Diceros bicornis minor: one gene and its partner. The protein of the gene in region 2 purifies or fractionates together with the protein of the main gene of each other region. This does not show direct contact. Links are inferred from orthologs where the notes say so. Each region holds a gene or a part of one and is shown on either strand. Other genes may lie near its edges. The genes, in order: CBX3 and KMT5C.

Region 1 (16,493 bases), on a different chromosome or scaffold from region 2:
TCCTATACTAGTGATAGACTTGCTAACTCTGTGTGCTCTGATCCAAAAAGCCTTTACAGAACAAGATAGAATGAAATTAATCATTTTAGAGAGGGTGGGAAAGGTGCCATTAACCTCTAGTTACAACTTCGTCTGTGGATATCCTAGGACTCCAAAACTGGCAAATCTACATTAGAGGGTAGAGGAGGACAAAGGAGCTGAAGTGGAGCCTCCGTTCTGTAGTTTCACTATAGCCTTCTATTATTAACTAATACAGTATACTGCATATAGCAGGTTCTCAATCATACTAGTTGCCTTAAGTTTGGGAAGAAAGAGAGAGGAGTAGTTTCCTAATGTTTTGATGGGTCGGTCGTAGACAAACAGACTTTAATGTCTCATGGGATTCTTAAAAAAAACAAAAAACAAAAGCCTGTCTACCACATGAAGATAATCAATTCTTTGGCAAATTGGTTAAATCTACTTTAGAAATAGTTCAGACTTATTTTTCCTTGGTTCTGCTATCTGCAGGAAATTCTTCTAGTGGTAAATTATGAACTTATGATATATACTTAGGGTCAACTAAGGGCACTAGAAGGATAAAATAGGGAAGCCTAAATCTTACAATCAACTCATTATTCCCAAATTGCTATGGAGATGGCTTCAAAAGTGAATGTTGGGGGAAGTAGTAGATAACAGCTATTTGAAGCATCACAATTTGACTACCATACTCCACATCTCCACCATGCTCAGAAAACTGCTGTCAATTTCCACCTATCCATTATCAACAGTCACTGCCCATGGAGCCTAGATCTGTCTTGGTGGTATAAAGCAGAAGAATCCAAGTAGATTAGTACATGATAAATGTAAGTGTATGAGTAAAATTTCTGCATGTAAGTTACTTACAATACATCTAACGTTATCAAGAGTGATTATGAGAGCAGTTAGTAATAAAGAACATGAGGAACTAGGGAGCTTAAAAAATGCCCAGATTCTACTTTTTAGAGATTAGGATACAATAAATCTAGCATAGGACCTGGATTATGAGCACTTCTGTTTAAGATTCACTAATCTACACCATATAGCTTCAATGTTTTTTAGTGCCCTCTGTATGTAGAGTAGGTATTCTAATTAGTACAAAATCCAACTACATTAAAATGCATTACTTACATAGTAAACTGCACTCTAATTCTATAAATTTGACTCTCCAACGTAATCAACTAACCTCAAATCTGCTTAGTTACAACACTGGGCTAAAGACTTGGCTCTTTTTAAATAGATATCAAACAAGATACCCTGGATTAAAGGTATCTTTAAATTTGAAGACACCTATGTGAAAACCGATAAAAGATCTCAGGCTAAAAAAAAATTTTAAATGCAACTTAGGTGCAGTTAAACATACAATAAAAGGAGATTTCTTACTCTGTAAATCCCTTCCACTTCAGGAAATACTCCACCTTCCCATTCACTACGCGTCGATCCAGGACTTTTTCCACCACAAATTCTTCAGGCTCTGCCTCTTCGACTTTTTTACTCTTTCCATTCTGTTTCTTTCCCATTTTTTGCTAAAACAAAAGAAATTTAAGAAACAACTTTTTTAATTTTTGAGTACATTTTAAAGGCTAAATTGCTTAATCGTTGCATCTGACATCTAAATTTTTACTTCTATATCCCAGGACAGACAACTTCTGAAAAGATAAAAGTCACTGGACAATCAATAAAATAAAGGCATGCTTAATCCTGTTGCTTTAGCTCAAGCCTAACACCCACCACCCTTCACTGAAATAATACAATCAAAAACACTATCTGGAAAATACTGTTATGTTTTCCTACTCTTATTTCTATCTAGTCTACAAGACCAAATTTACTCAAATTTTCACTCATTTTAACTACAACACAGCAACCCCAACTAGAAAGTATTAGAGGATGACACAGAGGAAAGTAAGTAGCAGCGACAGGCCTTACTAAGTGAACCACAGACCCATTACAACTACAGCCCCCAAACACTAAGAACCCCTTTCCCAATTCAAACAGCAACGTTAAAAGCCTCAACAATATAGAAAAAAGGGAACTGCAGAATGAAAACACAGTTCAGAATCCTGATATCAATTGCAGGGTCAACCAAGAAGACCTTTTTAATAAGTTAAAAAGGACAGATTATTTTTCCATAATCTCTGTAGACAGTATTACTGACCACTTGGGACAAAGCTATAATGCTGTCACTTCAAGAGGCCAAAATGCTGGATTATTTTTATTCTCTGTGAAAAAAATCCTGCTTTCTTCATTTCTCAAGAGAAAGAGTCTAAACTGGTAGCCAACGAAATTCACTTCAAACAAGTTTTTAAGTTTCTTTCTTGCATAACACTATTTGAGAGAAGCAGACCAGGCTCAACCTGCCATTTTCTAATAACTCAGATTTGTTACAAGGATTGAAAATGAATAAATGTTTTGAAAACAGAAATGGTTAATTAGGAGAGACTAAGGGGGTAAAACCTCAAATGTTATGTTCGTTTTAAAATTATTTCATCTTAAAGCTGCTATTAAAAAAAAATCCTAATTGCCTAGTTACTAAAGTCATCCCTCAATATAGCATATAAGTTAACAGCAATGCCTCAAGATTGCAAAAGGACATTAAAACCATGTAGTCATTTAGAGGTACACATACACACAAAGAAATAAAAATCTTCTGGAATTAAAAAAAATGCAGCAAACATCTGATTTTGTTGGATACCATCTCCAAGTCAGGCCTTACAATTTCCATTAATCAAGATACTTGGGTATTGCACCCCGTCGGATAGCTTTCTGCTTCTGTTCAGTAAAAGCAAGTAAGAATGGTAGTAGGAAGAGTGGAGAAAAATTGGTGTAGACAAAAGCTTATTAGATACTGATCCTAGATGAAAACCAGAACAGCTATGTCCATGAAGGTAAGAGGTTAACAGAATAAAGAGGATGACAAAAATAAACACAGAAAATGAAAAGGACAAAAATACTAAGAAAAAAATTGGCATAAAAAATGAAGTATTTACTACTATGGCACTCAAGCTAATTTCAAGGGCTCATTTGTTTCTTTTCAAAAGAAAATTCATTCACTTTACCATTTAAATTATAGCACACATCTCACAACACTATTTTAAAATGAAAAGTCAAATAAAAACTTTTAAAGTTGTCAATATGTGATCCCCTACAAAAGAATATTTAAATACCAGTAAGTTACAGACATTGAAAACTATCAAATTATATGCAAAAGCAACTTAATTTTAATGGAATCATCTATTTGCTTGCTTTCTGTATCTATACTCATCCTCAAAGCCTCATGAACAGCTAGTTCCCTTCCCCACCAATACTTGAACACAGGTGTTCATAAAATCAATTTATTATCTCTACTTTCCTTTACTGATTATGGAATTTGAAGGACACTTCCATCCTGAGGGGGCACAGAACATGCTAAGAGCTTTTCCCACTGATGGCTTTGATGGAACCATTTGTGCCACAGAGACTCACCACATAGGCTTTATAGTTGTTTTTGTTTCCCAGGAAATTTGACTTAAATGGGCAAACCTATGATGGCACAAATTAAAATCACCAACTTGCCCTTTTAATTGTGAAACCCAACAGACAATACAAACTAAAACCAAATGTTTTGCTTTATTTAGATATTAACACTCACCTTTATATGCTTTCGATTATTATTAACGCAGTGTTAGAATTAAATACTGTGGGAACCGTAACTGAATTTCGTGTTTTTTTTAAACTTCTAACTTGACATGGCTTTTACACATTTGCAGAACTTGTAATGAAGCCTGAGAATGCAAACTTTGGATTTAAGAAACTGCTAGAGACCAAAAATTGCTTGAAAGATCGAGTCTTTTCTCCTTCCTGGACATACATGATTGTGTTCATTTTGTGTATTACCAGAACACTGCAATTATTTAATTTTAAGGCCCGTCTGACTTTAGAATAAGCAAGTCTGAAATATGACAACGTGATGAAAGTAATTTGGAAGATTCACTTTCTGCCCCAATCTAAGTGTACAAGGTGCCTGTTTTTGACACTGGGCAATACTGAAAATACTTGCTTTCTCTAGAATTCAGTACAGTGATTTAGAAAATATTATGCCAATCAACAAGACTTTACTGCTTTCTCTATGCTTGTAACATATTCTTTCATGTTACATAAATTTGTGCATTTGTATTTCAAGATAAAAATACTCATTAAAATTCACATTGCGCTATCCTCCCAAGATTAGGTTTCTTTCAATGAATTAAAACACTATCCAGGCAAGTCAGTAAATATCTCAATGTAACGACTTCGTTTTGGCCCCTAATTCTCCCCATAACAACACTGGGGAGAGAAGGGACTGGGGAATACATATAGATGTAAATTTCTGAACCACAGAGACGCAAAGTTATAATTTTTGGGGAAAAAATTTTGAGTTAGATCCTTACATATTTCAGGTTTTCATTAACTTACCAATGTAGTTTTATTGGAGGCCATTTTTTATTGCAGACTTGAAGAGCTATTACTAGAAAAACGCATGACAGTTAAAAGGAAGTTTGCACGACACAAAAAAGGTAGCTAAATACAAGTTTTGTTTGGATTCCAACCCCCACCTATGTAGCCCATATTATCAAACATGTATACAAATCCATACAAAAGCAGATTTAAGCTCCTGCGTAAATTATTAGAGAGAATATGCCTGAGAATATATCAGTGTTCTAACAGCGAGTCTAGAAAACCTTACTGAGGTCATTGGGACTTGAAACAGCTTCGCTGGCCGAAAAACAGTAGACAAATATGTTTTTTCAATTCAAATGCCATTTATACATATTCAGTATTCTTTACAAAATGGCCAAATATTTTGGTTCAAAATCGGACAATTTCCTAAACTACCGTGAATTTTTCGTCGAGACCTCTTAACAGTCCAAAGAGTCGCCTATGTAATCCCAACTTGGTTTCTTCTTAGAAACCCTCCCTCTTCCCAATCACTAGTTAAAACACTAAAAGAAAAACACACTGAGATGCTTCAGGCCCATTTCGTGCCACTTTTGAAAACAAGTCACCTCTTCGGTACGTCCATATGCTCCCAAGCCCCAGGCCCCACCCTGCTGAATGCGGCCTAAACGCCGGGCGCCCGCCCCCCACCCGGGAGCGCGGGCCTCGTGGTCAGCGCATCCGCGGGGAGAAACAAAGGCCGCGCGCGGGGGCTCAAGGGCACTGCGCCACGAGGCTCGCGCCTCGCCCCCGGCGGCGGCCACATAACGGAGCGCCCGCCGCAGCCTCCAGGAAGCTGGCCGCGCGGATGCGGGAGAATGCACCGCCCTCCCTGGAGGCCCCAGTCGCCGGCCAAGCCCGGGAGGGGGAGGAGGGCCCCTCATCGTGATCCGGGATGGGGGAGGGGAGAGGAAAATGCGCTTTGTCTAGAAATAAGGCGACTGTCGCCACGACTCTCCACCTTCTCGGGGACAGTCTCGTCCCCCACTTAACTACAGGCGTCGGCGCAGCGCCAGGCCCGCCGCGGGGTCTCCGCTCGCCTCTCCGCTCCTTCCCACCAGCTCCCGACTCGGGGTCGGACGGGAAGCAGGGGCCAGGGGGTGGGGAGCTGGGGCGCATGTGGTATGTTAAGCGCCACCACCGAGTGAGAACTAGAGAGAAAGAAAGACACCGACTTCACCGCCTCCGAGCTGCTCCGCGTCCCGGGTCTGCAGCGTCTCCGGCCCTGCGCGCCTCCAGCTCCAGCCACATCCGAGGGGGAGGGGGCTGGGGAGCAGCGCGCGGGGCGGCCGCCGGGGGGGGGGGAGGGTGGCACCGCCCACGCCGGGCGGCCGCCAGGGGCGGGGCAGGGGGCGCGCGCCCGGCGGGGGGGAGGGGCCGCGCGGCGCCGCGCCCGCCGGGAGCCCGGGCCCAGGGGGCGGGGGGGAGAGCGGTGGCGACAGCGGCACTTACCGTTCGCGGCGTGGCGCCTGGTGGTCCCCGGAGGGGAGGAAGAGGGAAGGAGGGGCGAGGACGCTGTCCAGAGTCCTCTCGGCGGAGGCGTTTTTGCTTCGCAGCAGCAGCCGCTGGCGCCAAAACCGGACTCCGCCCACTTCCTCGCCCCTGGGGGTGCGTGCCTCCAAACGTTGGGGGTGAGAGGATGAAGATAAATTTGGGTGGGGGGAATCGGACACTGAGAAAGAGTGCCCCTTTCGGACCACCCTCTGCAAAGACCTTTTCTGAACCCGAGGGGTCAGTCCCAAAGACGTCGGCCAGGGTTAGGTTGGTGGAGGGTGAAGTGTAATTTGTTGACTACAGTCGCTTCGGGTGTTTCCGGAAGGGGCCGAGTCAGTCCTCGGCGCAGGGGAAGGGGGTGGGGGAGGGAAAACGCAGGGGGGAGGCTACAAAGATTTTTAAGGCGGGAGAACGGGGGCGAGGGGGGGCGGATTATCAACGGCGTTGCTGCAGGGACCACCTCCTGGGCTGAGGGGGCTGGACCTGAGAGCTGCGGATTAAGCTCCTCCCGGCAGCGTTCATTTCAAACTGCGCGACCGTTTCTTACCTGCCCTGCGCTAAGGCGGGGGCTGGACCCAATTCGGAGAGAGAGAAATACGCAGGACTCGCGCCTTCCGCAATTCACTGAGCCCATTTACGCAAGTGACGTCAAGCACCACCGCTGGCCGCAAGGGGGGGAGGAGTACGTACTTGGCGTAAGGAGGAGGTAGAGCGTTCCCGCCATTGGCGGCGGTTAGGGCGTTTACGCAACGGCCTGACGTAGGGGAAGACGCGTTAGTCGGGGGGAAGGTTCTAGAAAAGCGGCGGCAGCGGCTCTAGCGGCAGTAGCAGCAACGCCGGGTCTTGTGCGGAGGTGCTCTTAGCGGTGTTGTTTCTCGAGCAGCGGCAGTTCTCACTACAGCGCCAGGACGAGTCCGGTCCGTGTTCGTCCGCGGAGATCTCTCTCATCTCGCTCGGCTGCGGGAAATCGGGCTGAAGCGACTGAGTCCGCGATGGAGGTAACGGGTTTGAAATCAATGAGTTATTGGAAAGGGCATGGCGAGGCCGTTGGCGCCTCGGTGGAAGTCGGCCCCCCCGCCTCCGACGGAGAGCGGCAGTGAAATCGGGCCACTTAAGAAGCGGTTGGTCGCAGGATATTTTCGAAGAGGGCTGTTAGCGGAGGCCTGATTGTACAGCACCTTCCCCACCCTCAGCCTCCCGGCGCCATTTCCCTTTGCTGGGGGTGGGGGATGGGGAACTTCCACATGGCGGACGCGGCCCGCGGTAGTGAAAGCGGAGCGCCGAGGCGGCAATTCTTACTCCCCTCGTGAAGCACGCCGATTGGGGGGCCCCGGCGGCCCCCGTTTGAGCGTTTCGGCGAGTTTCGGGTCCGCGTGAGCGAGGCTGCGGAGCTTCCCCTCCCCCTCTCTCCCGGGAACCGGATTTGGCGGCCGCCATTTTCATTTCTCTCCTTCCTCGCAGCATTTTTCTTTTCGACCTCTGAATTCTGCTAGTTTGATTCTTTTACCGAAGAAGAGAAGTGGTTAACTAATTTTCTTTCTTCTTGGGCTGTTTTCATGCCGTTTCGAGGTGGATTCCGAGGGTTTTGTGAGCTTGGATCTTTAAAGTCCTGCGCACCTCGTTAGAGGCTCCCTCCCTTCCCCTCGATGAAATGGCGCCATTGCGTCCAGAAGCCGCAGCGAGCAGCGGGCGGGGGGGTTCCTCCGGGGCCCGGGCGCGCGGCGTCCGAGGAGGTAAAGCGAGCGAGGGTGGGGGGCCGGTTTCAAGCGAGCCATCGTACAAAGAAGACATTTTGTTTTCCAGTCCTGTTTCTTTGAGTAACGGTTTTGTTTGGGCCTGCAGTGATGAAAAAGACAGTTGAATCGCAGGAAACTTGAGAAATAAGTCAGAATTTGGAACCGTCAGATTACTACCGACTGCGTGGGTGGCAGCGGGGAAGGAGGTGGGGGGGACTTTTTCCTGAAGGATTCCCTTAGAATGGTAGAATTTATTCCTTTTTTAAATACTATTTTTTCTGGGAAATGTGATCTTTACTGGATAAGACTACGGATCCTTGTAAATGATGTTAGAAATTTTGAGGAGAGTGAAGAAAAAAATTGAGTTTATTCTTAGTGGTACTTCGGTTAAAACATGGCTCAGTCCTTCAGTGCGTGTATTGCTGTATACAGAACTGTGTTAGGCTAGGCCGCTCTGTATTTGAACTTTGTCACTTTTCTCATTTATGTTTGCAATCGTGGTTGATCATTACATTGATAAGCATAAGGTCTCAAGCGAAGGGGGTCTACCTGAGTATTTTCTTTGACCCTAAGCACGCTTAAAAAATAACTTTGTTTGTAATCGATAGTGGACATCGGGTAAGTTTGGAAAAAGCAGAGGTAAGTAATGAGTTTTTGCCTTTTGTTGGTGATGTGTAAAAATTGTTGTAGATGTGCTTTTTAAAATTTCCGTAATTTGGGTTTTAAAAGACGTGTTTACTGACAGTATTTGGTGTAAAGTGAAGAATCCAAATATCAATATGCCGTATAATTAACCATTTTGGTAGTTTTAAGTAAACATCTCGGGAGCTAGTTTAATAGTTTGTTAATCTTTTAAAATTTTTCAGAATCCTGAAAATAGTTAACTATGTAGGAAGAAAATCTGTAAATTGTTTCTTATCGCTGTATTTTTTGAGCTGTTGGGAGAATATCATGCGTTGAAGGAGAAACCTCCATAGAACTGTGGGTTGAGAGCTGTAATGCTATTTGCTGGGAATAAGTTATCGCCTGTTGTATTGAAAATTATATTTTACATTTTAATTTGTATTATACACTTACAGCAGATTGTCCTGGACGTTATGATTTATTGGGTTTCTGAATATTTTTAATTTTTTAACCTAGTCACCTGGAAATTATAATGATGCATTCTTTAACTGAGAGTCCCAAATACAGGGCTATTAATGCAACATAATTGCTTGCTGGTTTATAGGGATTAAAAAATTTCAGCCTAGCCTTTTTTCTTTTTTATTTGTGAAATTAGATGTAACTTGTGTAGTTTGCCAGGTGGCCACTAAGTTAAATACACTTGAGGTTTCGGGTTTTTTGGTAAATGAATTGAAGTGTAAATGATAGTTAAATATGTAACTACTGAATAGTCACAGTGGTCATTTAAACGTTTTTGTGGTTTTTGGGAGAAAATGATTACATTCATTGTATTTATGGTTATTGGTCCAATAATCGGATTGTTTCTGTACTGTCATTTAAATAACCAAACATGGGGGTGCCCACAAAAAGTCAGTTATGTTAAAACTTGAAGCTTTAGACACCAACGGTCATTAAAAAAGTCTGCCTTGGTCAGAAGAGAGGTAAATTTTAAGGATGTTTTGGAGCATATACTGAAGGTTTGAATTTTTTTCCCTAATCGAGAGTTGGTGTATGGGAAAGAATGATCTTTACCAGGGGGTTTTTTTTTTTTTGATGAGATGCATTAGAATCACCACCAGAGGGAGCAATGAGGGGAAAATGTCACTTTTCAGATATACTGAATCCAGAAGTAAATGGTAAACTATGAGTTATAAGTAAGGAACCAACAGTTTTTATGTTTAAAAAAAAGATTTCAACTGAGCTTTTAAAAGTTAACTTTAACTTCTCTGTGGGATATAGGATTGAATGCTAATTTTGATGAGAATCCTTTAACCCTTCAATGACCAGGGAGTAGATTTGCTTCTTTCTCTTCAGAAAGTATTTTTAAAAATAAGTGATAATAAATTTGTTTGAAATAATTTAATGTCAAGTAAATTTAGATCAAGCATTAATGACTTTGAAACTTGTGTAGTTCAGCTGAGGCAATTTTTTTGGTGTAACACAACTAATATGCAGTTTAACATATGGTTTAAATTTGATGTAAGTTTTTTTTTTCCCCCCCAGAAAACTTTAGAAACTGTTCCTTTGGAGAGGAAAAAGGTACTCTGCCAGCAGGTCACCTCATATTTAAGAATTTAATTTCCTGCATACAAAGAGAAAATGTAAATAAAAATTGAAATGGTGTTTTCCTTTGCAGAGAGAAAAGGAACAGTTCCGTAAACTCTTTATTGGTGGCTTGAGCTTTGAAACCACAGAAGAAAGTTTGAGGAACTACTATGAGCAATGGGGAAAACTTACAGATTGTGTGGTACGTTAAATGTAAAAGTGCCTACAGATAGTAGTCCTTCAGCTGTTGAGCTTCTGTTTTTAAAATGTTAAGTGAGTTGTGGAAAAAATCACTTAAATCAGCCATCAATTCGTACTGCTAGTTCATAACACAAGTAATGAGATCAAATGCTAACGTTTCCCCTTTGGTCGTATAGGTAATGAGAGATCCTGCAAGCAAAAGATCAAGAGGATTTGGTTTTGTAACTTTTTCATCTATGGCTGAGGTTGATGCTGCCATGGCTGCAAGACCTCATTCAATTGATGGGAGAGTGGTTGAGCCCAAACGTGCTGTTGCAAGAGAGGTGAGCAAAATATAATTTCTTTGTGCAATAAATGTGAAGAAAATTCTGTCCCACTGAAAATTAGAATGTAGTTTTTGGAAGAACTAACTAGATGCTGTGTATCTAGCTGAAAATTTTTTTCCTCATTAAAGCTATGTTGGGTTTCTGTATTTTTGATTTTTCTAGACTTATCAGAAGTATTTTTCAAAAGACTACATTCTTATTTACAAGCCATTGCTTTGCTTGGTATTTTATCGTAGAGTAGAAGCCATCTGTGGTACCCACATAGTGTGCTTTCAATCATATTTGGTTTCTTCTATGCGGGTGACCTTTTTTTCTCCCACTGTTTCAGGAATCTGGAAAACCGGGGGCTCATGTAACTGTAAAGAAGCTGTTTGTTGGTGGAATTAAAGAAGATACTGAGGAACATCATCTTAGAGATTATTTCGAGGAATATGGAAAAATTGATACTATTGAGATAATTACTGATAGGCAGTCGGGAAAGAAAAGAGGTTTTGGATTTGTTACTTTTGATGACCATGATCCTGTGGATAAGATTGTGTGTAAGTGTCTAAGAATTAGGTGTGTGACTGCTTCATATGTTAAATTTTGCATATGTTAACATTACAATTTTAATAAAAGGTAAACTTTAATTTATGAGTTGGTTACTATTATAGAATGCTGACTTAATGGAGTCTGAATTTTTCATTTCAGTGCAGAAATACCATACCATCAATGGTCATAATGCAGAAGTAAGAAAGGCTTTGTCTAGACAAGAAATGCAAGAAGTCCAAAGTTCTAGAAGTGGAAGAGGAGGTAACTTCAATTCCAGTAAAAAAAAAAAAAAATTATTTGTATCGGTGCTTGTTACTAACCAGAAAATTTATTGTAGGCAACTTTGGTTTTGGAGATTCTCGTGGTGGCGGTGGGAATTTTGGACCTGGACCTGGAAGTAACTTCAGAGGAGGATCTGGTAAGTTCAAGTTCTAAGTGTTAGGGTGAATGTACTTGATTAAAAATATGATTAAGTTTTGATTAGAATCAGGAAGTACAACCTAATTTTAAAAAGTTATCCTTAAGGCTTTTTAAATAGGTTGTATCCTGGTAGGATGTTCTGATGTGGCAAGAGAAAATAGTTAAAGAAGATATTCTTAAAATTGTAATCAAAGACAGTGAATTGTCCACATCCTTTTATGATCTCCAATTTTCTTAAAAAAGCTAAAATGACATTCTAACCACCTTAAAAATTATGAGGATTCTCCTGAATAGTGAGTGAAAATACCATAGAGGCTTGCCTGTGGGTTTAAAAAGGTCTGTATCTTAAGTTTTTTGCTTTAGGCTTGAGATATATTTATCTAAATTAATATAAAGACGCCAATAGGAAAATTTTCATCCCGGTCCAGTGTCCCTCTTAAGTATAAATAAGTGGAGTCTCTTAAATTGAGACTTGCCAAGTTCAAGCCCCAAAATTAGGCAGTTATCCTGATAATGAGATTTAGTTACACCCTTTTGTGTGTTTATTTTTAAGAATAAACACATAACACCAGTTTTCCAGCGTAAGGGGGATGGTTCCTAATAATTTTCATCCAGAGATAACTAATAGAGAATGTAGAGGAAAACAGGGTGAGGAATCGAGTAGGGTGAACAGGATATAATATATTTTTTCTGCCTCTAACAGATGGATATGGAAGTGGTCGTGGATTTGGGGATGGCTATAATGGGTACGGAGGAGGACCTGGAGGTCAGTTTCTTCTGCGTTTCGTTTGATGTGACTTAAAGACTTAGTTAATCACACTGTATGTTGGCCTAGTTGAGTGTATTTGTGAAATTTCTCTCAATGTATGACTCTTTCTTTACAGTTACTTTACATCTTAGCTGTTGTACAGCTTAAAGCAAGAGTGTACTTATAGTTGTTAGTATAGGTTGCAGAATCATTTGAGTGGATTTTGAATGAGAATTTAAAGATGGCATCATGTTATCCCTTGGTTTCTTAAGCAAAAGAATTGGACATAGATGTGATACTTTATATAGTCTGTTTTCCTGGAAAAATAAAGAATACTGGATATGACCAAGATAAGCATTTAAGGGGAGTGTATATAAGGGCAGTTGTGTCTTACTTGGCTCTTAGCAAGATAAGTCCCACAGGAGAACATCCAAAAAGTCACCAAAGGAACTTTTCCAAAATACATAAGTGTGCTCCTGGGTCCAGCTAAGGTTGTGAGCCACTATTATATCACATGATACATTAGATGTATCTTTTGTTGGAGTACAAAAAAGGTTGATACTTGGGTGACAAATGTCCTAATAAGAAAGGGACATTAAAACTCTGAGCTAGTGATAGACCTGTTTTCTGTCTTTACCACTCATTAGGCATGACTTAAGTTACTCCTACATCGCATCGTTTCCAACTTTGTTTTGAAATCTAAATATTAATTGGGTGTTATGAGAAAGATGAGTTCTTGTATTTAAACTACATGTAATTTGAGACTACCTGTACCAATTTAATTTTTTGAATTACATGCAAGTTTGCTAATTTCTGGTCCTCCCCCCCATTTCTACTCAGAAAGAGGGTACTGGGCATGTTGTTTAAGAGACATGGTAATTCATAGGGAAACGTGAGCTGCGATCTTTTGGACCAGTAGGAGGATGTGGCTCTTCTACTTTCTCTCACTAGGCTTCGCCTCTTGTCTGCCCCCACAACTCTTACACAAAATATAAATAGTATTTCAGGATGCCTTCAGGAGCACCCTTAATATCTTTAGATTTAGAGGAGAGCTGTGGCATTACAGGTATTTCTCTATAAAGGTTTTATCCAGTTGGTTGTGGGTAGGCACTTCCTGCCCTCAGATGTTTACCAAAGATACTCTATTCTGCCCTTGAGGCTATTCTAGAAAAGATTTCACAGAACAAATATTTTACTATAAATAAGTGTTTTGGAAAGCTGGAAATGGGTGTGATAAGACAGTTCAAATGGCACTGAAAATACTAAGTAATTACTTAAAGGCTTATTTTATAATAGGTGGCAATTTTGGAGGTAGCCCTGGTTATGGAGGAGGAAGAGGAGGATATGGTGGTGGAGGACCTGGATATGGCAACCAGGGTGGGGGCTACGGAGGTGGTTATGACAACTATGGAGGAGGTAATAAATTCACCTGCAACCTTTATGTGGGATTTTGGATTGAAATGAATGACTTTTAACACGTGAGATTTTTCATTTTAATATTGTCAATAGTTGTCTTTAAAAATTGTAGAATTGTAGATAGGTGTTTTGCATTTATTCTAATGATTTGTTTTTGTGGGAGATTTGTCCTAAATACTTAACATGTATTGCTGGCTTAATATTTGATTGTATTCTGAGGTTCATTATGCAAAGCTAGTATTCCATTTTTTTCCCCCACAGGAAATTACGGAAGTGGAAATTACAATGATTTTGGAAATTATAACCAGCAGCCTTCTAATTACGGTCCAATGAAGAGTGGAAACTTTGGTGGTAGCAGGAACATGGGGGGACCATATGGTGGAGGTAATTTATTAGATTCTTTAAAATTATTTTGTGTTATTAAAGGATTGGTCTTGCATGACTTGAAGGAAAGATACTATGGTAATTGTTAGTTTATTTATGTTTGGGTAACACTTCCACCATATATAGTGTTACTGAAATAAAAATTTTACGGAAGGAAACAAGTCTAACATCAGTTTTTGGAGTTGGTGTGGTCAAGGTGGGATGTTCAGTAATGTAAAATAATTAGGAGTTGGGAAAGTAGGTTAATATTTTGGGTGGGGGTTCTTGTTTTCCTTTTCTTGGCTCCTTTTTTTAAGAGGCAGCCAAATAAAATTGCTGAGCACATTGCAAGTGGTATAAATTTGTATGAGTTGTCTCTTTTAAAGTTATAGTAAATAAGCTCAAACCATTGTTTGTTACTCTTGAGAAAGTTTTTAGTAAGACCGGATTTCTTTTGCCTTTTGTGCTTGGTATACTTTTTTTTTTAATTCCTTTCTAACCAAATGATTGTGGTGGAGAACTCTCTAAAAGAAAAGCATTGTTAAAATGTTTTCTAATTTTAAAGGATGAAATTATCATAGCTATGAATCTGGATAACTTATCTCCTAAGTAATTAGCTTAACTAGAAACAATGGGTTATGATCTCGTTTTAGAGAGTATATGGCTATAAAATAGAATCAGTTATAGTATTAAGGTAATCATGGGAAATCGAAGTAAGTTTGCTTTCTCTTGCTCTTCCAACAATTCTAGGAAACTATGGTCCAGGAGGCAGTGGAGGAAGTGGGGGTTATGGAGGAAGAAGCCGATATTGAGCTTCTTCCTATTTGCCATGGGTAAGTGTCTTTTGAGTTTTATGTTATTATTTCTTGGGAGACCTAGCTGCCAGGAGTAAAAGCTTTTTAGGATCATGTTATCTTTCCTTAAAATCTGGTTAGATGGATAATTTCATAACCTATTTTTTTTTTACTCTTTACTTCTGTTGAAACAGGCTTCACTGTATAAATAGGAGAGGATGAGAGCCCAGAGGTAACAGAACAGCTTCAGGTTATCGAAATAACAATGTTAAGGAAACTTATCTCAGTCATGCATAAATATGCAGTGATATGGCAGAAGACACCAGAGCAGATGCAGAGAGCCATTTTGTGAATGGATTGGATTATTTAATAACATTACCTTACTGTGGAGGAAGGATTGTAAAAAAAAAAAAAAAAAAAATGCCTTCGAGACAGTTTCTTAGCTTTTTAATTGTTGTTTCTTTCTAGTGGTCTTTGTAAGAGTGTAGAAGCATTCCTTCTTTGATAATGTTAAATTTGTAAGTTTCAGGTGACATGTGAAACCTTTTTTAAGATTTTTCTCAAAGTTTTGAAAAGCTATTAGCCAGGATCATGGTGTAATAAGACATAACGTTTTTCCTTTAAAAAAATTTAAGTGCGTGTGTAGAGTTAAGAAGCTGTTGTACATTTATGATTTAATAAAATAATTCTAAAGGAAATTGTGTAATTATAGACTTTTTATTTTAAATAAGTTAAGGAGTGGGTAGTATAATTAAGGTCCATTGCAAAGCTGTTGTTATATTTGTGTAAGATAAATGTTGGTCAGATATAAGTGTGTTGTCTGCAATTCATCAGGATTAAATTATCTAGATAACTTAAGGGATATCTCTGCAAGGAGAAACACCTTTTTAGATCTTTTAGATGCTGCTTCTTCAATGCAAGGAAAGGAAATAACCCCAGCGAGGTACTCTTCAGGGATACAGGTCTAGTACAAGAGAACTCTTGACGGCTACTAAGTTCAGCCAGTCTTAAAAAACTGTGCTGTTTCTACAAAGCTTTAAACTACAGTAGTTTATAAGGATGCCAACGAAAGCTGAGGGTGTAGAGCAAAATAGTTCTAAGCTTCAGTTAAACTTCTTTAGGTAAGATCTTATTTACTTTTCCTTTCTTAATTTTCCTCCCCAAAAGATAAACTAATACTCTTAAATGGTCTTTCAGTATAGTGATTCTTAATGTAGTTTAACATAGCTATAAATTAAATTGAGTTTAACAATTTATAAACTCAAGAGAATAATTTTATAAACCCTGTTTTCCAATCTGTCATTTACTTAAATCATTTTGGTTGTTTTTTCCCTTTTTTTCCTTCTTTCCCCCACCCCCTCCCCCTCTATGAAGATTCAGGTGCTTAACATATCATTTTTTTCCCTGCTGGAATTTTAGCATTGCTATGAACCATGGACAAGTATATTCTGCTGCCACAAAGACTGTAAAGTGCTTCATTTCAACAGCTGAGGCAAGCCAAGTGATCATTAATAAAGCTTTTCTTGGTTCCTTCAGTGGTGTTGGTAGTAAAATGGTAGGTAACAGTTAGGCTGCAAGTTCAATGAATCATGAAATTTCCCATCGTTACACCCTTGTGTATTCACATTTCTTGGATCAAGCATTTTGAGTGAACTAGGATTTTTTATTAAAAATAAAGACATTGTGTTCTTCTGTTACATGTTCTGTTGATATGGTTGTTCTAGCTTTACATGCTTATCAGGATCAGGCTAAGGAAAAGGTAGGGGCATAATGGTTGAATCTAAATTTT
Region 2 (16,232 bases):
TCTCCTTAAATCTTCCATCCCACTCTCTCCCTTCTCACTTCCAATCCATGAACATAGCATATATCTCCTCATTCATTTTGATCTTCTTTAAGGTCTCTCAATAAGGTTTTACAGATTTTCTGTGAAGAGGTCTTGCACATCTTTTGTTAAATTTATTCCTTGGTGCTGGATATTTATAAATGCTATTGGAAGCCGTATTTGTTTAAATTTTTATTTTAGAAATGTGTTGATGGGGGCCGGCCCGGTGGCGCAAGTGGTTGAGTGCGTGCACTCCGCTGCGGCAGCTCGGGGTTCACCGGTTCGGATTCCGGGCGCGCACCAACGCACTGCTTGTCAGGCCATGCTGTGGTGGCGTCCCATATAAAGTGGAGGAAGATGGGCACGGATGTTAGCCCAGGGCCAGTCTTCCTCAGCAAAAAGAGGAGGATTGGCAGATGTTAGCTCAGGGCTGATCTTCCTCATACACACACACACACACAAAAGTGTGTTGATGATTAAAGAGAAAATGGTCAATGTAGTGGACCTGAGTTGGCTATTATGCTTGCGAGGTTGGCCTTTTGTTGGTGTCCTGGGACTTGGCTGTCCAAGTGTTCTGAGTGGCTCACTGTGCCTGGATTGTTTGTGCAGACTGTGTGGTTTATGCTGAATGCCTGCTTTCCTTCTGAGAATCTGGAATTTTGGTATGTGCTAGGCAGACAGTGCCTACGTGATTGGTCACCAATAAAAGCCTTGGGCGCTGAGTCTCCAGTGGGCCCCCTTGGACAAAAATATCACGCACATGTTGCTGCATTTTTGCTTCTGGAGGAAGAATGAGCTCTGCGATCCTCATGGGAGGGAGAAAGCATGAGGAAACCCGCACATGATTCTTCCAGACTCCACCTGTGACTTTTCCCCTTATGATCCCACATCACTGTCGTAAAGCTTAGCCATGAGTCCAACTCTATGCTGAGTCCCATAAGTCCTAGTGAATTTCCAAACATGAGGTCGTCTTGGGGACCCCCGACACACAGGTAAATAGAAATGCAATTGATGTTCATATATTGATTTTGTATCCAGCAACCTTGCTAAATTCTCTCTTTAATTCTGATATTTTATCAGGAGCTTCTTTTGGATCTTCTAGGTATATAATCACATCTGTGACTAATGACGGTTTTGTTTCTTTCTTTTCAATTCTTACACCTTTCATTTCTTTTTCTTGCCTTACGACACTGGCTGTTTTCAGAACAGTGCTGAGTGCAGTGTAAGGGGGCGTTCTTGTCTTGATCCTGACTTGAAAGAAAAAGTTTCAGTGTTTCACCATTCAATATGAATTTGCTCTAGATTTTTTTTTACTGTGGTAAAATATACATAAGTGTTAGCTTTTAGCCACTTTTAAGTGTACAATTCAGTGGTATTAAGTACATTTACATTGTTGTGCAACCATCACCACCATCTACCTCCAGAACGTTTTCATCATCCCAAACAGAAACTTTATACCCATTAACCAATAACGCTCCATTTGCCCCTGCCCAAGCCCCTAGCAACCACCATTCTACTTTCTGTCTCTACAGATTTGACTATTGTAGGTACTTCATATAAGTGGAATCATATAATATTTGTCTTTTTGTGTCTGGCTTCTTTCACTTAGGAAAACATTTTCAAGGTTCATCCATGTTGTAACATGTGTCAGCATTTCCTTGCCACGTTTTGTTTTTTTCATTTATCAGTTGATGGATTTTTGGGTTAGTTCCACCTTTTGGCTGTTATGAATAATGCTGTGATAAATATTCGTGTACAAGTTTTTGTGTGAACATATGTTTTTATTTCTCTTGGGTAGAGACCTAGGAGTAGAATTGCTGGGTCATATGGTAACATCTTGAGGAACTAACAGACTGTTTTCCACAGTGCCTGCACCATTTTATATCCCCACCAGCAGTGCACAAGTTCCAACTTCTCAACATCCTCAACAGGGCTTCGCATTATCTGCCTTTTTGGTTATAGCCATCCTAGTGGATGTGAAGTGGTATCTCATTGTGGTTTTGATTTGCATTTCCCTAATGACCAATGATGTTGAGCATCTTTTCATGTGCTTATTGGCCATTTGTATACCTTCTTTGGAGAAATGTCTGTTCAGATTCTTTGTCCATTTTTCTTTTTCTTTTTCTTTTTTTTTTTTGCTGAGGAAGATTAGCCCAGAGCCAACATCTGATGCCAATCTTCCTCTCTTTTCTCTTGAGGAAGACTAGCCCTGAGCTAACATCTGAGCCAGTCTTCCTCTATTTTATATGTGGGTCACCACCACAGCATGGCTGACGAGCAGTGTATTTCCACACCCGGGACCCGAACCCACAAACCCGGGCCGCCGAAGTGGAGTGTGCTGCACTTAGCCACTAGGCCACGGGGCCAGCCACCTTTGTCCATTTTTTAATTGGGTTTTTTGTCTTTTTTAATATTGAGTTGTAAGTATTCTTTACATATTTTGGATTACAAATCCTTTATCAGATATGTGATTTGTGAGGATTTTCTCCCGTTCCATGGGTAATAGAGCTCTTTTGAGGGCACTCTGTCTCCTTTGGGATCAGACTTCCTTATTTGTTGTTATTCATTTAATCATTCAGTAAGTCTTTATCCAGTGCCACTGATGTGCTAGGCACTGCCCTTGACGTTGGAGACTCTGCCCTGAGCAAAACAAGGGTCCCTGCCTTCCTAGGGCTTATGTTCCAACTGGGGAGAAGGACAAAGAACCAGTGAACAGAGATATATGATGTCAGGTAGGGTAGGGTACCGTGCAATGCCAGCTTCATAGGCATGTGACCTATGTAGTCACCCAGGGCCCCACCTTGGTTTAATGCCTGCTGTCGCCATCTTGAATCTTAATAATTTTTGAACAGGGAGCTCTGCATTTTCTTTTTGCTCTGGGACCCACAAATTATTATGTAGCTTGTCCCGAGACTATGAAGCAATACAGCAGAGTAAGGCGATGGCTCGGGTAGGTGGGGTCTTCCAGCCAGGGCGTGAGGGAAGGTCACCCTGAGGAGGTGACATTTGAGCAAAGACCAGAGGCTGGTGAGAGAGTGGGCGGGGCTTTCTCCGCAGAGAGATTGGCAGGGAAAGACCTTGAGAAGTGGAAAGTTTGGCTTCCAGCAAGAAGGCCAACGGGACTGTGACAGAGTGAGTGATGGGAGAACAGTTAATAAGTTAGGTCAGAGGAATAACGGGGGGACCATTGTAAGAACTTCAGATTTTCATGTAGGTGTAGATCAGTTAACAATAGCTGCTTAAGACAACGATAAACGTTTATCATTTCCCACAGTTTCTATGGGTCAGGAATCCAGGAGTGGCTTAGCTGGACAGTTCTGGCTTGGGGTTGTTCCTGACTTGCAGTCAAGTTGTCGATCGATGGGAGCATAGTCCTCCGAAGGCTTGGCTGGTTTGGTTCCAGACAGCAGGATTGGTTCCAGGGTGGCTCACTCACCTGACTGTCAAACTGTTGGCAGGAAGCCTGAGTTCCTCTCCAGCTGTTGGCACAAGACCTCAGTTCCTTTCGGTGTGCACTTCTCCACAAGGTGGCTTTAATGACCTCTCGACATGGCTCTGAGTTCCCCCAGAGGAATGATCCCCAAGAGAGTAAGGTGGAAGCCACAATGTCTTTGATGACCTAGCCTTCGACATGCCAACGTTTTTGCACTATCCTTTTGGGTACACAGCTCAGCCCTCCTCAGTGTGGGAGCAGCTACACCACAGTGTGAATCCCAGAAGGGGATGTGGTCACTGGGGGTCATCTTGGAGGCTGGCTACCAAGGTGTGAATCCATTGCAGAATTTTGAGCACAATGATGATGATGATGATAATGATGATATAGATGAGACACAAATAGATAGATAGAGATGTACATGTGTGTGTATGTGTGTATATGCATAGGTATATAGATAGATAGATATGTATATAAATTACCGTATAGCATGTAATACTTATATTTTATTCTATTATTATATACATTTTGTTATTACACAAATAACATATGAAAACAGACAACTCCCGCTTAACCATTTATTTTTTTAAACAGTTTTTATTATTTATTTATTTATTTATTTATTTATTTATTTATTTATTTATTTTTTGTGAGGAAGGTCAGCCCTGAGCTAACACATCCATGCTAATCCTCCTCTTTTTTCTGAGGAAGACCGGCTCTGACTGACATCTATTGCCAATCCTCCTCCTTTTTTTTTTCTCCCCCAAAGCCTCAGTAGATAGTTGTATGTCATAGTTGCACATCCTTCTAGTTGCTGTATGTGGGACGCGTCCTCAGCATGGCCGGAGAAGCCGTGAGTCGGTGCGCGCCCGGGATCCGAACCCAGGCTGCCAGTAGCGGAGCGTGGGCACTTAACCGCTAAGCCACGGGGCCGGCCCCAACCATTTATTTTTTTTCAAGCTTTGTTGAGGTACAATTGACAAAAAAATTATATGTGTTTAAGGAGTACAACACGATGGTTTGAATGTGTATATATTGTGAAATGATTACCACTATCAAGCTAGTTAACACATCCATCCCCTCACATAGTTACCCTTTTTGTGTGTGTGTGCGGTAGGAACACTTATGATCTAGTCTCTTAGCAAATTTCAAATATACAATATATTATTTTTAACTATAATCACCATGGTCAACATTACACCCCCAGTACTTATTTATCTTATAACTGGAAGTTTGTGCCCTTTGACCAATGTCTCCCTATTTCCCCACCCTCCAGCCCCTGGTAACCACCACTCTACTCCTCAGTTTCTATGAGTTTGACTTTTTTTTGGATTCCACATATATGTGAGATCATGCAGTATTTGTCTTTCTCTGTCTGATTTATCTCACTTAGCATATTGTCCTCCAGGTTCATCCATGTTGTTGCAAATGGCAGGATTTCCTCCTTCCTCATGCCTGAGTAATATTCCATCATATATACATGTGTGTGTATATATACACCACATTTTCTTTACACATTCATCTGTTGGTGGACACTTAGGTTGTTTCCATGTCTTGGCTATTGTGATTAACGCTGCAGTAGACATGGGAGTGCCACTATCTCTTTGTGATAGTGATTTCATTTCCTTTGGATATATATCCAGAAGTGAGATTGCTGGATCATATGATAATTCTATTTCTAATTTTTTGAGGAAACTCCATACCATTTTCCATAGTGGCTGCACCAATTTACATTCCCACCAACAGTGCACGTGTTCCCTTTTCTCCGCATCCTCTCCTCAATCATTTAATTTATATATACGTGTAAATAGATATCCCTTTCCCCTCAAAATATGATCATCCTGAATTTACTGTTTTTTTCTTTTCTTTTCTTTTCTTTTTTGGTGAGGAAGATTGGCCCTGATCTAACATCTGTTGCCAGTCTTCCTCTTTTTTGCTTGAGGAAGACTGTCCCTGAGCTAACATCTGTGTCAATATTCCTCTATTCTGTACGTGGGACGCCACCACAGCATGGCTTCAAGAGCAGTGTATACGTCCGCGCCCAGGACCCAGACCCGCAAGCACCGGGGCTGCCAAAGCAGAACACGTGAACCCACCACTACGCCACGGGGCCAGCCCCCTGAATTTACTGTTTTATAACAAGTTTCTCCCCTTGATCATAAGCCATGCACCACCTTGGGAGTTAGCAAGCCCACAATGTCCCTCCAGTGTGTGAACATATGGTCTGAAGAAGCCACCTTCAAAGGCATCTTCCAAGGCATGCTTCTCAAACATTCTGGAGCATTCCAATCACCAGTCTGGGTAATTCTGATTAGGAGGTCTGGGCTGCAGCTGGAAATTCTGCATTCCTACCAAGCGTCCACGTGATCCTGCTTGATGCTGCTGGTCCACAGGCCACACTTTGGGTAGCAACGTTCTAAAATGACTGATTATTAAATACTCAACCAGGCTCTTCGGAGGCTGAGCCTTAGAATCTATATTTCCACTACATTCCCGAGGTGATTCTTCATTTTTTTCTCTCTCTCTTTTTTTTTTGTTAGTGGTAAAATACACATAATGTCAAATTGACAATTTTAACCATTTTAAAGTGTACAATTCAATGGCATTAGGTACATGCACCACGTTTTGCAACCATCACTACTCTCTAGTTTCAGAACTTCTTCATCCAAAGAGGAAACCCCACATCCATTGTCAGTCACTCCCCAGCCCCCCAGCGCCCAGCCCCTGACAATCACGAACCTGCTTTCTGTCTCTCTGGATGTACCTATTCCGGACATTTCATAGAAACGGAATCATCCCATATGTGCCTTTCGCGTGTCCGGCTCCTCTTGCTTCGTGTGCTAAGAGCACAGTAACCGTTAGGTATCGCTGTTATTCCATCTGGTGGATGTGCTGTAATCGGTCCAACCAATCTCCTACTGTTGGACATTAAGGCTTTGCCTATTTTTTAAACAATGCTGAGACAAACATCTTTATGTATAAATATTTAACACTTGTTCAGTTATTTCCTCAGAATAAAACCCTGGAAGTGAAATTGGTGGGTCAAAATTTTATTCGTATTATGAAATATTTCTGACATGTAGAAAAAGAACAGATAATGAATATAGTGAATTCATGGTTTCCACCTCCGGGCTTGAAAAAAAAATTACCCGTAACAATGTCCTACGTAACCTTCCTGATTGCATTCTTTCCACGGCATCCCCAGGGGTCACCACTAGGGCTCCCCCTCCCTCTGTCATGCCTGTGCATGTTTGTAGACATTTACAACATCCACACACAACCCTGTTTTACGTGTTTTAAAACTTCCTGCATTTGACGATGTAGACTTCTGCAAACAGCAACACGACGCTTTGGGGTTGTCGGGGTTGATGTATGGAGCACCGGTTCACCCTCTTTCACTGCTGTATGGTGTTCCTCTGTATGAATATGCCATGATCCATTTATCCATTCTCCGTGTAATGGACATGTAAGTCGTTTCCAGTTTTTCACCGTTACAAACACTACTGTCGAGCTTTCTTGTGCTTGTCTTTTTGTTCACATTTGCGTGAGTTTCTCTAGGGTGTACCGGCGAGTAGAAGGGCCGTACTTTTAAGATTCAGATACTGATAGGACTTTTCGGAGAGCTAAGGTTTTTATAGAGTCCTTTCTGCTTGCTGACTTCCTTTCTTTGGGTGAGGCTGTTTCTCTCCTTTGGAGCTGTGGCCATTCTGATCCAGGGGAAAGGGTCTCTCAGGGCTGGAAGTAGTCCTAGTGGGGAAGGAACAGTATGAACAGAGGGTGGGAGACTGGAATCACGGATGGAGGACACCTCGGAGTGTGTTAAGGAAGACCCCTCAGAGAGGGACAAGTGTGGTTCTTGTTTTATAGATGCCCAGAGACGGCAAGCCACTTCTTCAACGCCACAGAGCGACGCAGAAACCATGAGCTTCATTCATTCATTCATTCATTCATTCATTCATAACATATTAACGATGCACCTACTCCGTGCCACGCATTGTTCCAAGCGTACAGGATATATAGCACTCAGCAAAACAAAGACCGCCTGCTCCAAGTGCGGAGCTTATTATTCTGGGCGTAATTATGATGAATGGCTAATTATGTTTGCCTGTAGGATTGGAGGGGAGGGTGATCCCAATTGGGGGGGTGTCCCATGGGAGCGCCCCATAAGTCAGGGCTCTCTCCAAAGCCCCCACTTCTCAGTCTCCCTGTTTCCAACCCCTTCCCCCACAGAATGTTATTGTGGGTACTCCCAAAATTAAAGGGGTACTTGGGGAAAGAGAAGGTGGTCTGGGAGGGAGGGAGAGAGACAGCCCTTTGTATCCGGGGAGAGTTGTCAATAAAGTTTGGTCGCCGTGGCAACCGCAGGGCTCGCGGGGCGGGGAGGGGCTGGGCGAAGGTGCGCGCGCATTTACCACCCCCCACCGCCCCTCCGGCCTGCTCCTGCTGTCTCCCTGCTGCGGCTGAAGGTTTCACCAGAGAAAGAGAATAGAGAGGTCGCGACTCTACGGTGACCGGCTCAGACCTTAGCCAATGGAAGGATGAGCCGTTCCAAGGCCAGCCAATCACATACGGGTTCTGGAGCCGGTGGAGCCCGCCCTCTTTCCGCTTGGACCCGAGTAACCTGACCCAAACCCAAGTTTCGCCTGGAGCGACGGCGCTTTCGGCCAATGAGGGCGTCGACTTCGGGCAGTGGGCGGGGATAGTCTCCATGGCAGCGGCGGAGGGACAGCGGTGGGAGCCATTGGCAGCAGTTGGCGGCACTTGACGGCAGCGCGGGCGTGGCGGGGTTTTGTGGGGGCACTGACGGGGGTCGGGCGGGGAGGGGCAGAGTGGGGCTCGACCAATGGGAGCGGAGCGAGCTGAGGAGTGGCGGCGGCCTTGGCCAATGGGAGGCCGCGGTCGCCGTGGCGGGGCGGGCGCGGCGGGGCAGACGGGAGGCGCGGCGACGGTGTCTGACGCGAGCCGGAGGAGGCAGTGGGAGGTGGTGGCGGCGGCGGCGCGGGCGCCTGAGGAGGAGGTGGAGGAGGAGGAGAAGCGGGTGAGGGGCGGCGCGGGGCCCGACCTCTGAGCACCCTCTCGGCCCCCGCCCCGCGCCGCCTTGGCTCCTGGTCGCCCCCAGCCCCGACTGCCCCCCGCCCCACCCTGTCCCTCCTCGTGTCCAGGCGCCTAAGTCTCCTGGCTCTTCGCGAGCCTCAGGCTCTCTCGGCGCCCAGCCCCTTCCCTGTGCTTCCTCACCCAGGCCTCTTGCCGCTCCCCGGCCTTCCTCAGCTCGCCCTCTGACTCTCCCCTCCCCTCCCCGGACCTCATTGCCTGCCCAGGCCCCTGTGCGCTTCCCCCACTCCTCTCCCTGGACCCTCACTGCCCGCCCAGGCCCCTGTCCGCTTCCCCCAATGCCCTCCAGACTTCAGGCCCTTCCCCTGCACCCTCACTGCCCGCCCAGGCCGCTGTCCGCTTCCCCCACTGCCCCCCGGACCTCAGGCCCTTGTCCTGCACCGTCACTGCCTGCCCAGGCCCCTTTGCGCTTCCCCCACTCCTCTCCCTGGACCCTCACTGCCCGCCCAGGCCCCTGTCTCCCCCTGCTCCTCTCCCTGGACCCTCACTGCCTACCCAGACCCCTGTCTGCTTCCCCCAGTGCCCTCCGGACCTCAGGCCCTTCCCCTGCACCCTCACTGCCCGCCCAGGCTGCTGTCCGCTTCCCCCACTGCCCCCCGGACCTCAGGCCCTTCCCCTGCACTGTCACTGCCCGCCCAGGCCCCTTTGCGCTTCCCCCACTCCTCTCCCTGGACCCTCACTGCCCACCCAAGCCCCAGTCTGCTTCCCCCACTCCTCTTCCTGGACCCTCATTGCCTACGCAGGCCCCAGTCTGCTTCCCCCACTCCTCTTCCTGGACCCTCAGTGCCTACGCAGGCCCCTGTCTACTTGCCTCACTCCCCTTCCTGGACCTCAGGCCCTTCCCCTGGACCCTCACTACCCACCCAGGCCCCTGTCCGCTTCCCCCATTGCCCGCCAGACCTCAGGCCCTTCCCCTGGACCCTCACTGCCCATCCAGGCCCCTGTCCGCTTCCCCCACTGCCCCCCACACCTCAGGCCCTTCCCCTGGACCCTCTCTGCCCATCCAGGCCCCTGTCCACTTCTCCCACTGCCCCCCAGACCTCAGGCCCTTCCCTTGGACCCTCACTGCCCACCCAGGCTCCTGTTTGCTTCCCCTACTTCCCTCCCTGGACCTCAGGTCCTTCCCCTGGACCCACACTACCCACCCAAGCCCCTGTCTCCTTCCCCGACTCCTATTGCTGGACCCTCACTGCCCACCCAGTCCCTCCCTGGACCCCAGACTCTCTCCTCCGGCTTTCCTGTGCTCCTCCCTGGATCCCCAGAACTACTTCTGTCCCTCTCTGCTTCTCCAAGCCCTGTTCTGGATCCCTAGGCCCACTTCCACCTTCTCAGGACCCTCCGTGGACCCCAGGTCTCCCCTCTCGCCTGCCTGGGCTCCCTCCAGGACTCCCAAGCTTTCCTGGAGCCCTGTCTCCCCCAGCACCTCTGTGGACCCCAGGTCTCCCATGGCCTGCCTGGGCTCCCTCCAGGACCCCCAAGCCTTCCTGCAGCCCTCTCTGTCTCCCCGGGCTGGCCCCAGGTCCCTCTGTGAGGTCCCTGTGTTTTGTTTTTACCCACATGCCCCCCTGCAGCTTCCGCTCTGTCCCAGGGCCCTCCCGCAGCGCCCCTCTTTATCTATCCCCAGCCTTCCTGTCTTTTAGACCCCCTTTCTCAGCCACTCTAGCTCCTGACTTCTCTTTAGTCCCCCTTCCTTGCTGTCCTCTGTGGACTCTGTGAAGCACCGTGGTGTGGGTGCCCAGCAGGCCCCCCGCTCTCAGGGTTAGGGGTCTTGTTTTGTTCCGTTTTGCCAATCCCCTTCTTTCTCCTCTTTTTATGGACCTGTTCTGCCTCTCCATACCCTTCTTTTTCTCTCCCCCCTCCCCCGCTTTGTCCTCCAGCCCCCCCCTGGCCCCTGGAATCCTTGGAGAGGGAGCAGGTGCCGGGATCCCTCCTCAGCTCTCCCTCCCCTCACCCCCCTCCAGGCTGCCTGGGGCTTCACCCAGAGCCTCCCTAGACTCCCTCCTGAGGGCTGATGGGGGGTGGGGTGGAGGCCAAGGCCGAGCCTGGAGAGAGTAGGGGTGGGCAGAGGAACCGTCAGTCCCGACGGGGCGGGAAGCCTTGGCTTTTTCCTTGGTGAGGGCCAGAGGTGGAGCTGGGTCCCCCCTGACTCCCACCTCTTGCAGCGCTAAGCCTTTAGGGTTATCCGAGACTGCCAATTAATCAGCCTTCCTGGGGCCAGTAGGGATGCGTGTGTGTGGGGGTGTGGTGTAGGGGTGTGAGGGAATCTGCGTGTGTGAGTGTGTGTGCACGTGGGGGGGGGGGTCATGTGGTGGGGGATTTGAGGAGATGGAGATACTAATGATGGAGACTAGATTTCTTTGGGGGCTCCCCCACTGTCAGAAGTACCTGTTGCATGTCACCTTCACTGAGAGCCCGTGAAGTCAGCATTGCTATTCTCCCTGACGTGTAGATGAGAAGACGGAAGGGCTTGCCAGAGTCCCGCACAGCTTATAAGTGGCCCGGAGCAAGCGCCCGCCGGGGGTGCCGCCCCTGCCCCTGCTTTGCCCCCTCCACTCGGCCAGAGGCAGCATGGTCCATGGGGCAGCATGGGGCCCGACAGAGTGACAGCCAGAGAACTGTGTGAGAATGACGACCTGGCCACCAGCCTCGTCCTGGACCCCTACCTCGGCTTCCGCACCCACAAGATGAACGTCAGGTGAGGCGGCCTGGGGAGAGGGCTGGGGGATCCCTTGCTTCCACCGCCACCCCTCAGCCCCGTCCTCCCCTCAGCTCCTAGTGGGGGTGGGGGCGGGGCCCGGGAGGGCCCGAGGGAGTAGGCCAAGGTCCCGGGACCCAGGCATGCCCTCTCCCCCAGCCCCGTGCCCCCCCTGCGGCGACAGCACCACCTGCGCTCGGCGCTGGAGGCCTTCCTGAGGCAGCGGGACCTGGAGGCTGCGTACCGGGCCCTGACGCTGGGAGGCTGGATGGCCCACTACTTCCAGAGCCGGGGCCCACGGCAGGAGGCTGCCCTCAAGACCCACGTGAGGGCGCCCTTCCTTCCCCGCCCTCGCCCGCGTGTTCTCCTGTCACCTCAGCCTGTCCCAGGTCCTCCTCCCTGTGGGGCAGACTCTCCGGAGCCCTGGGCTCCGTGCCCCTCAGCACAGCCCCCTGGGACTCCCTGACTTCCTAGCCGTTGGGACCGTCTGAGGCGAGGCTCAGAGAATCCTGGGAGAGGAGAGTTGGGGGCCCTCTGAGATGGAGTCCAGCCTCTTCACTTGACAGATGATGAAGCTGAGGCCCAGAGGGGAAGTGAGTTCCTTGAGACCACACAGCGAGTCAGTGGCAGAGCAGGACTAGCACCCAGGAGAGAGGGCGGAGGACGACCCTGCCCCACCTCCTTACCCCACCCACCGCTCACCTCCCCCAGATCTATCGCTACCTCCGCGCCTTCCTGCCTGAAAGCGGCTTTACCATCCTGCCCTGTACCCGCTATTCCATGGAGACAAACGGGGCCAAGATTGTGTCTACCCGAGCTTGGTAAGAGGGCAGAACTCGCAGCCAAGGGCCCCACGCCTGATGGGAGGCACCCCTCCCCAGGGGCTGCTGGCAGAGGAGACCCCTGTCCCTTCTGGAGGAGATGGGGGCGTCACTGAGGGGACAAGGAGGAAACCTCTGGTGGCGTCAAGGCCACGAAGATGCCAGAGTTCAGGAGGTTTCCTGCAGAGAGGAAGGAGTCGAGGGCTGGTTCTGAAGACCCTCCTCACCCACTGTAGCCCTGCTAGGGGATGCGACCCTAGAGTTCCCGGGGCTGCCGGGAAGGACTGACCTTGTGCCCACGACCGTGCAGGCCTGTCTTCATCCCGACTGAGCCCCTGCCAGTCTGGGTGCGGGACAGGGCAGAGAGCAAGATGGCCCTGCCAGCCACTCAGTGTAGCAGGAGGGCAGGGGATAGCCGAGTAAACACGCAGGTACTGACCGCAGCTGCTCAGGGCTTCAGGAGCTGGCTGGGGAACTTTGCGAGTGTTCTCGGGAGCCAGGCCTCAGCTGGGATCCGAAGGATGAGCTGGGGGGTCTGGTGAGGTGAGGGGGCGAGGACGGGGCTGCAGGAGGCGCAAGGCAGCGGGGAGTTGGGGCTGGAGGAGCTGAGGGCCTGCTGCCGTGGCTGGAGTGGGTCAGTCCCCCGGGCAGGTGTAGAGGCCGTGGTGAGTGGATTTGCGAGACTTCGGAGGCGGACGACGCTGGCCTGCGGGAGTCCCAGGTGCCTCCCAGATGAGAAGCATCTGTCCCTGGCTAGGGTGGTTGGGAAGGTGCTGCTTGTAGAGCTGTGGCCTGGCCTCTTGGCAGGAAGAAGAATGAGAAGCTGGAGCTGCTGGTGGGCTGCATCGCGGAGCTGCGGGAGGCCGACGAGGGGCTGCTGAGGGCCGGCGAGAACGACTTCAGCATCATGTACTCGACCCGCAAGCGCAGCGCCCAGCTGTGGCTTGGCCCTGCCGCCTTCATCAACCACGGTGGGGGCCGTGGCGGGGGCAGGGCCGGCGGGGAGGGGGGCACCCCGCCCTCTCCCTCTCCCTCCACTCACCCAGTCTCTTCTCTCCCTGGCCCCGGCTGGCTCCAGACTGCAAACCCAACTGCAAGGTGAGACCTGGGGACCCCCAGGAGTGGGCACGTGGGAGATGAGGTGGCCCGGGGGAGGGGCCTTCTGGTCAGTGAATAGCAGGAAACTGTCCTGCGTCTCCCCACCTGACAAAGCACTCACTCACCCTGGCTGCCCGTTCGCTGAAGCAGGTGTTTGTGCCTGTGGCCCTTGGAGAGGGGAGGGAGGAAAGGGCTCTGGCTAGAGGCACACTGGAACCCGGGCGGCCACCTGGTGGCAGCGTTCTTCCCTCTGAATCTGAGCTGGGGGCTGGGCCCGTTTGAGTGGGGCGTGTGGTGATGGGAAGACAGAAAGAGCCCACTGCCCGCAGCTGTGATAGCAGGAGGCAGAGCATTTGAGTGGCAGGAACCTGCCCATGCATGCCACCTGGGCTGAGCCCAGAGAGAGCCCTGGAGGCCGGCTTCCAGGCAGAGGGAGCAAGGCGGAGGAGAGGCCAGGTGCACTGCTGGTCCTGTGTGGAGGAGCAGGGAGCGCGTGGGAGCCAAGGAATGGAGGGGAGGTAGCCCTGGAAGGCCTTGGGTGCACACCCTGCCAAGCGTGGGCCTCGTCCAGCTGTTTTTGGGAGCCCTGAGGTGTGACGAGGGGGTCCGGAGCTCAGACTCTGGAGTTAGAACTGGGTTTAGGTCCTGGCTCTGCCGCCCTCGGCCCTGGTTTCTCGTCTCAGACGGGAAGCGGTTAGGACTTGCCTCCCGGGACAGCTTGAAGGTTAGGTGCACAGTGCACACCGGCGTTGGTCAGCATTCCTGGGACTCTGTAGAGCTGTTACGTGGATTTCGGGGGATAAGGTGTGGCCCTGGCCTGGCCCCGCGTGCAGACACTGGGTGAGACAGGAAACCAGGCAGGGCTCCGTGAGAGGCTGTGACCAGGCATGTGCTGGTCTCCTCGGGGCACAGGAGCCAGTTGTCTAGCGGGGCAGCCCTGGGAGGCCGCATAGGAGTGACGCCAGAGGCAGGCGTGGAAGGAGGAGTAGGATTTTCCTAGGTGTTGCAGGAAAATGGGGGCACGGCAGGACATCCCAGACAGGGCACATGGCGCTGGAGGGCCAGGAGGCGGGACAGGCACCGCGACTCCTGTCTCCTGTGACTCCCGCGTTGGGTGCCGTGAGTGAGCTTGCGTCTGTCCCACGGAAGTTTCCACCGGGTGAATAATGGGGACTTGGTTTTTAGATGGCTCTGGCAGCTGGTGCGGAGGAGGCTGGCAGGAGGGAGCGGGACTGGAGGCAGGGCGGCCACGAAGAGGCTGGTTTATAACCTAGTGTGTAACGAGCGAGAGGTGACAAGGGGCTCCAGAAAGGGTCTTGGGGACAGAGGACAAAGACGTAAGACACTGCATGCTTGAGAGGTGCTGGCCTGTTGGCCTGGGGTCAGGCGGGTGGGGGGCGAGGCCCACTCCCAGGCGCGTGTCAGGCTAGAGTGGACAGCCAGATGGATGGAGGTCATGCCCCTCCCAGGCGGGGAACGCAGCTGGAGCAGGCGGGTGTGAGGGGCCCGTGGGGCAGTGATCCCGGACTGGGGCTGCGGAGTGGACACAGGCCTCCAGGAAGGGGGGTGGCCCGAGGATAGCAGGGAGTGGGGGAGTGGGTTAGGATGTGTCAGAGGGGGTGGAACTTGGCCGCAGAAGCTGGAGGGAGAGTGCAGGAGGGAGCGGTCACTGTGCACTGCCAGGGTTGGGTTAGGTCACCGTCCTGCGGGGAGGGGTGGGAGCCAGCCAGTGGGCGGGTGGTCGGGGGGGGGGGGGGGGGTGCTGTTCAGAGGATAGGAGGCTGCCTCCAAATGGCTCTTCCCCGGGAGCGGGGTGGGGGGCCCCCAGGACAGGCTCTGAGCAGCCCAGCCTCCAGTTTGTGCCCGCAGATGGGAACGCGGCCTGCGTGAAGGTGCTCCGGGACATCGAGCCGGGCGACGAGGTGACCTGTTTCTACGGCGATGGCTTCTTCGGTGAAAAGAACGAGCACTGTGAATGCTACACCTGCGAGAGGTGTGGGCGGGAGAGGGAGGTGGAGTCTGCCGCCGGAACCGGAAATGCCTCCTGGGCCCATTCCTTCCTTCCTCCTGTCTCCCGCCCACCCCAGGAAAGGCGAAGGGGCTTTCCGACTGCGGCCCCGGGAGCCCGCGCCTCCGCGGCCCCTGGACAAGTATGAGCTCCGGGAGACCAGGCGGCGACTGCAGCAAGGCCTGGACGGCAGTGTCCGGCAGGGCCTGCTGGGGCCGCGGGCCTGCGCCCACCTCTCCCCGCTGCGCCGGGACCCGTTCTGCGGTGAGCATGGGGACCCCGTGCTGTCAGCTGCTCCCCCGTCCCTAGCCCCTTCTCTGCCCTCCCCCCTCGGGCCCCCTGACAGGGTCTCAATTTTGGCCACCACTCTCTGCACCAGTCCCCTTTGAAGAGCGCAGGGCCGAGCAGGAGCTGTCCCCGTTCCAGAGGCCCTGCTAATGCGGCCCCCTTGTTCCTCCACAGCTGCCTGTCAGCCGCTGCGCTCCCTACCCCGTGGCGCCCGCCTTGATGCCGTGCCCCTCTGGCTCCAGTGGCTGCCTCAGCCCCAGCCCCGGGTGCGTCCCCGGAGGCGCCGCCGCCCCCAGCCGCGGCGGGCCTCGGTGCCCCCGGTTCTCCGCGCTGCTCGCGTTTCCCTGCACCGGTGGGGAGGCTGCGGCCCCCGCTGTTGCCTCCGGGCAGAAGCCCTGGTGGCCCTGGGCCCGGCCCCTCGCGCCTGCTGGGCCCCCCAGCAGGACTGGCACTGGGCCCGGCGCTATGGGCTGCCTTATGTGGTGCGCGTGGACCTGAGCCGCGTGGCCCCGGCCCCACCTGCTGCTGCTGCCCCCGGCCCTGCACGGACCCCAGGTCCTGTCCCCGTCCCCAAGCAGGCCCTCACCTTTGCACCCTTCTCCCCACCCAAGCGCCTGCGGCTGGTGGTCAGCCACGGCTCCATCAACCTGGATGTCCATGGTGACAGGCTGTGATGGGCTGGACATGGAGGTCTGGGCTGGGAGAGGCAGGGGTCCCTCCTAGTTCCCCTCTACCAGCCCTGAGTTCTTGGGGACTCAC

Evidence for each region.
Region 1: the proteins of KMT5C (region 2) and CBX3 purify together in Homo sapiens (affinity purification with western blotting; 3 studies listed by BioGRID and IntAct, with this or other methods). This does not show direct contact. The link is inferred for Diceros bicornis minor from reciprocal best matches to the Homo sapiens genes KMT5C and CBX3.

What each region holds. Positions count from the first base shown.
Region 1 is NC_080742.1:51,182,102-51,198,594, reverse strand, and holds the start of CBX3 (chromobox protein homolog 3), read right to left. Parts: upstream 6,024-16,493; 5' UTR 5,920-6,023; intron 5,737-5,919; exon of another isoform or gene 5,643-5,736; intron 4,499-5,642; 5' UTR 4,471-4,498; coding exon 4,447-4,470; intron 1,542-4,446; coding exon 1,399-1,541; intron 1-1,398. Other genes in the region: HNRNPA2B1 (heterogeneous nuclear ribonucleoproteins A2/B1), read left to right, coding at 6,954-6,959, 9,864-9,899, 9,997-10,107, 10,283-10,429, 10,761-10,971, 11,123-11,224, 11,301-11,381, 12,087-12,149 and 3 more.
Region 2 is NC_080773.1:33,335,094-33,351,325, forward strand, and holds the start of KMT5C (histone-lysine N-methyltransferase KMT5C), read left to right. Parts: upstream 1-8,398; 5' UTR 8,399-8,468; exon of another isoform or gene 8,469-8,489; intron 8,490-10,909; exon of another isoform or gene 10,910-11,012; 5' UTR 11,013-11,148; coding exon 11,149-11,258; intron 11,259-11,417; coding exon 11,418-11,583; intron 11,584-11,589; exon of another isoform or gene 11,590-11,824; coding exon of another isoform or gene 11,825-11,851; intron 11,852-11,969; coding exon 11,970-12,079; intron 12,080-12,886; coding exon 12,887-13,050; intron 13,051-13,157; coding exon 13,158-13,177; intron 13,178-15,033; coding exon 15,034-15,170; intron 15,171-15,264; coding exon 15,265-15,449; intron 15,450-15,647; coding exon 15,648-16,147; 3' UTR 16,148-16,232. UniProt on the Homo sapiens protein: Histone methyltransferase that specifically methylates monomethylated 'Lys-20' (H4K20me1) and dimethylated 'Lys-20' (H4K20me2) of histone H4 to produce respectively dimethylated 'Lys-20' (H4K20me2) and trimethylated 'Lys-20' (H4K20me3) and thus regulates transcription and maintenance of genome integrity.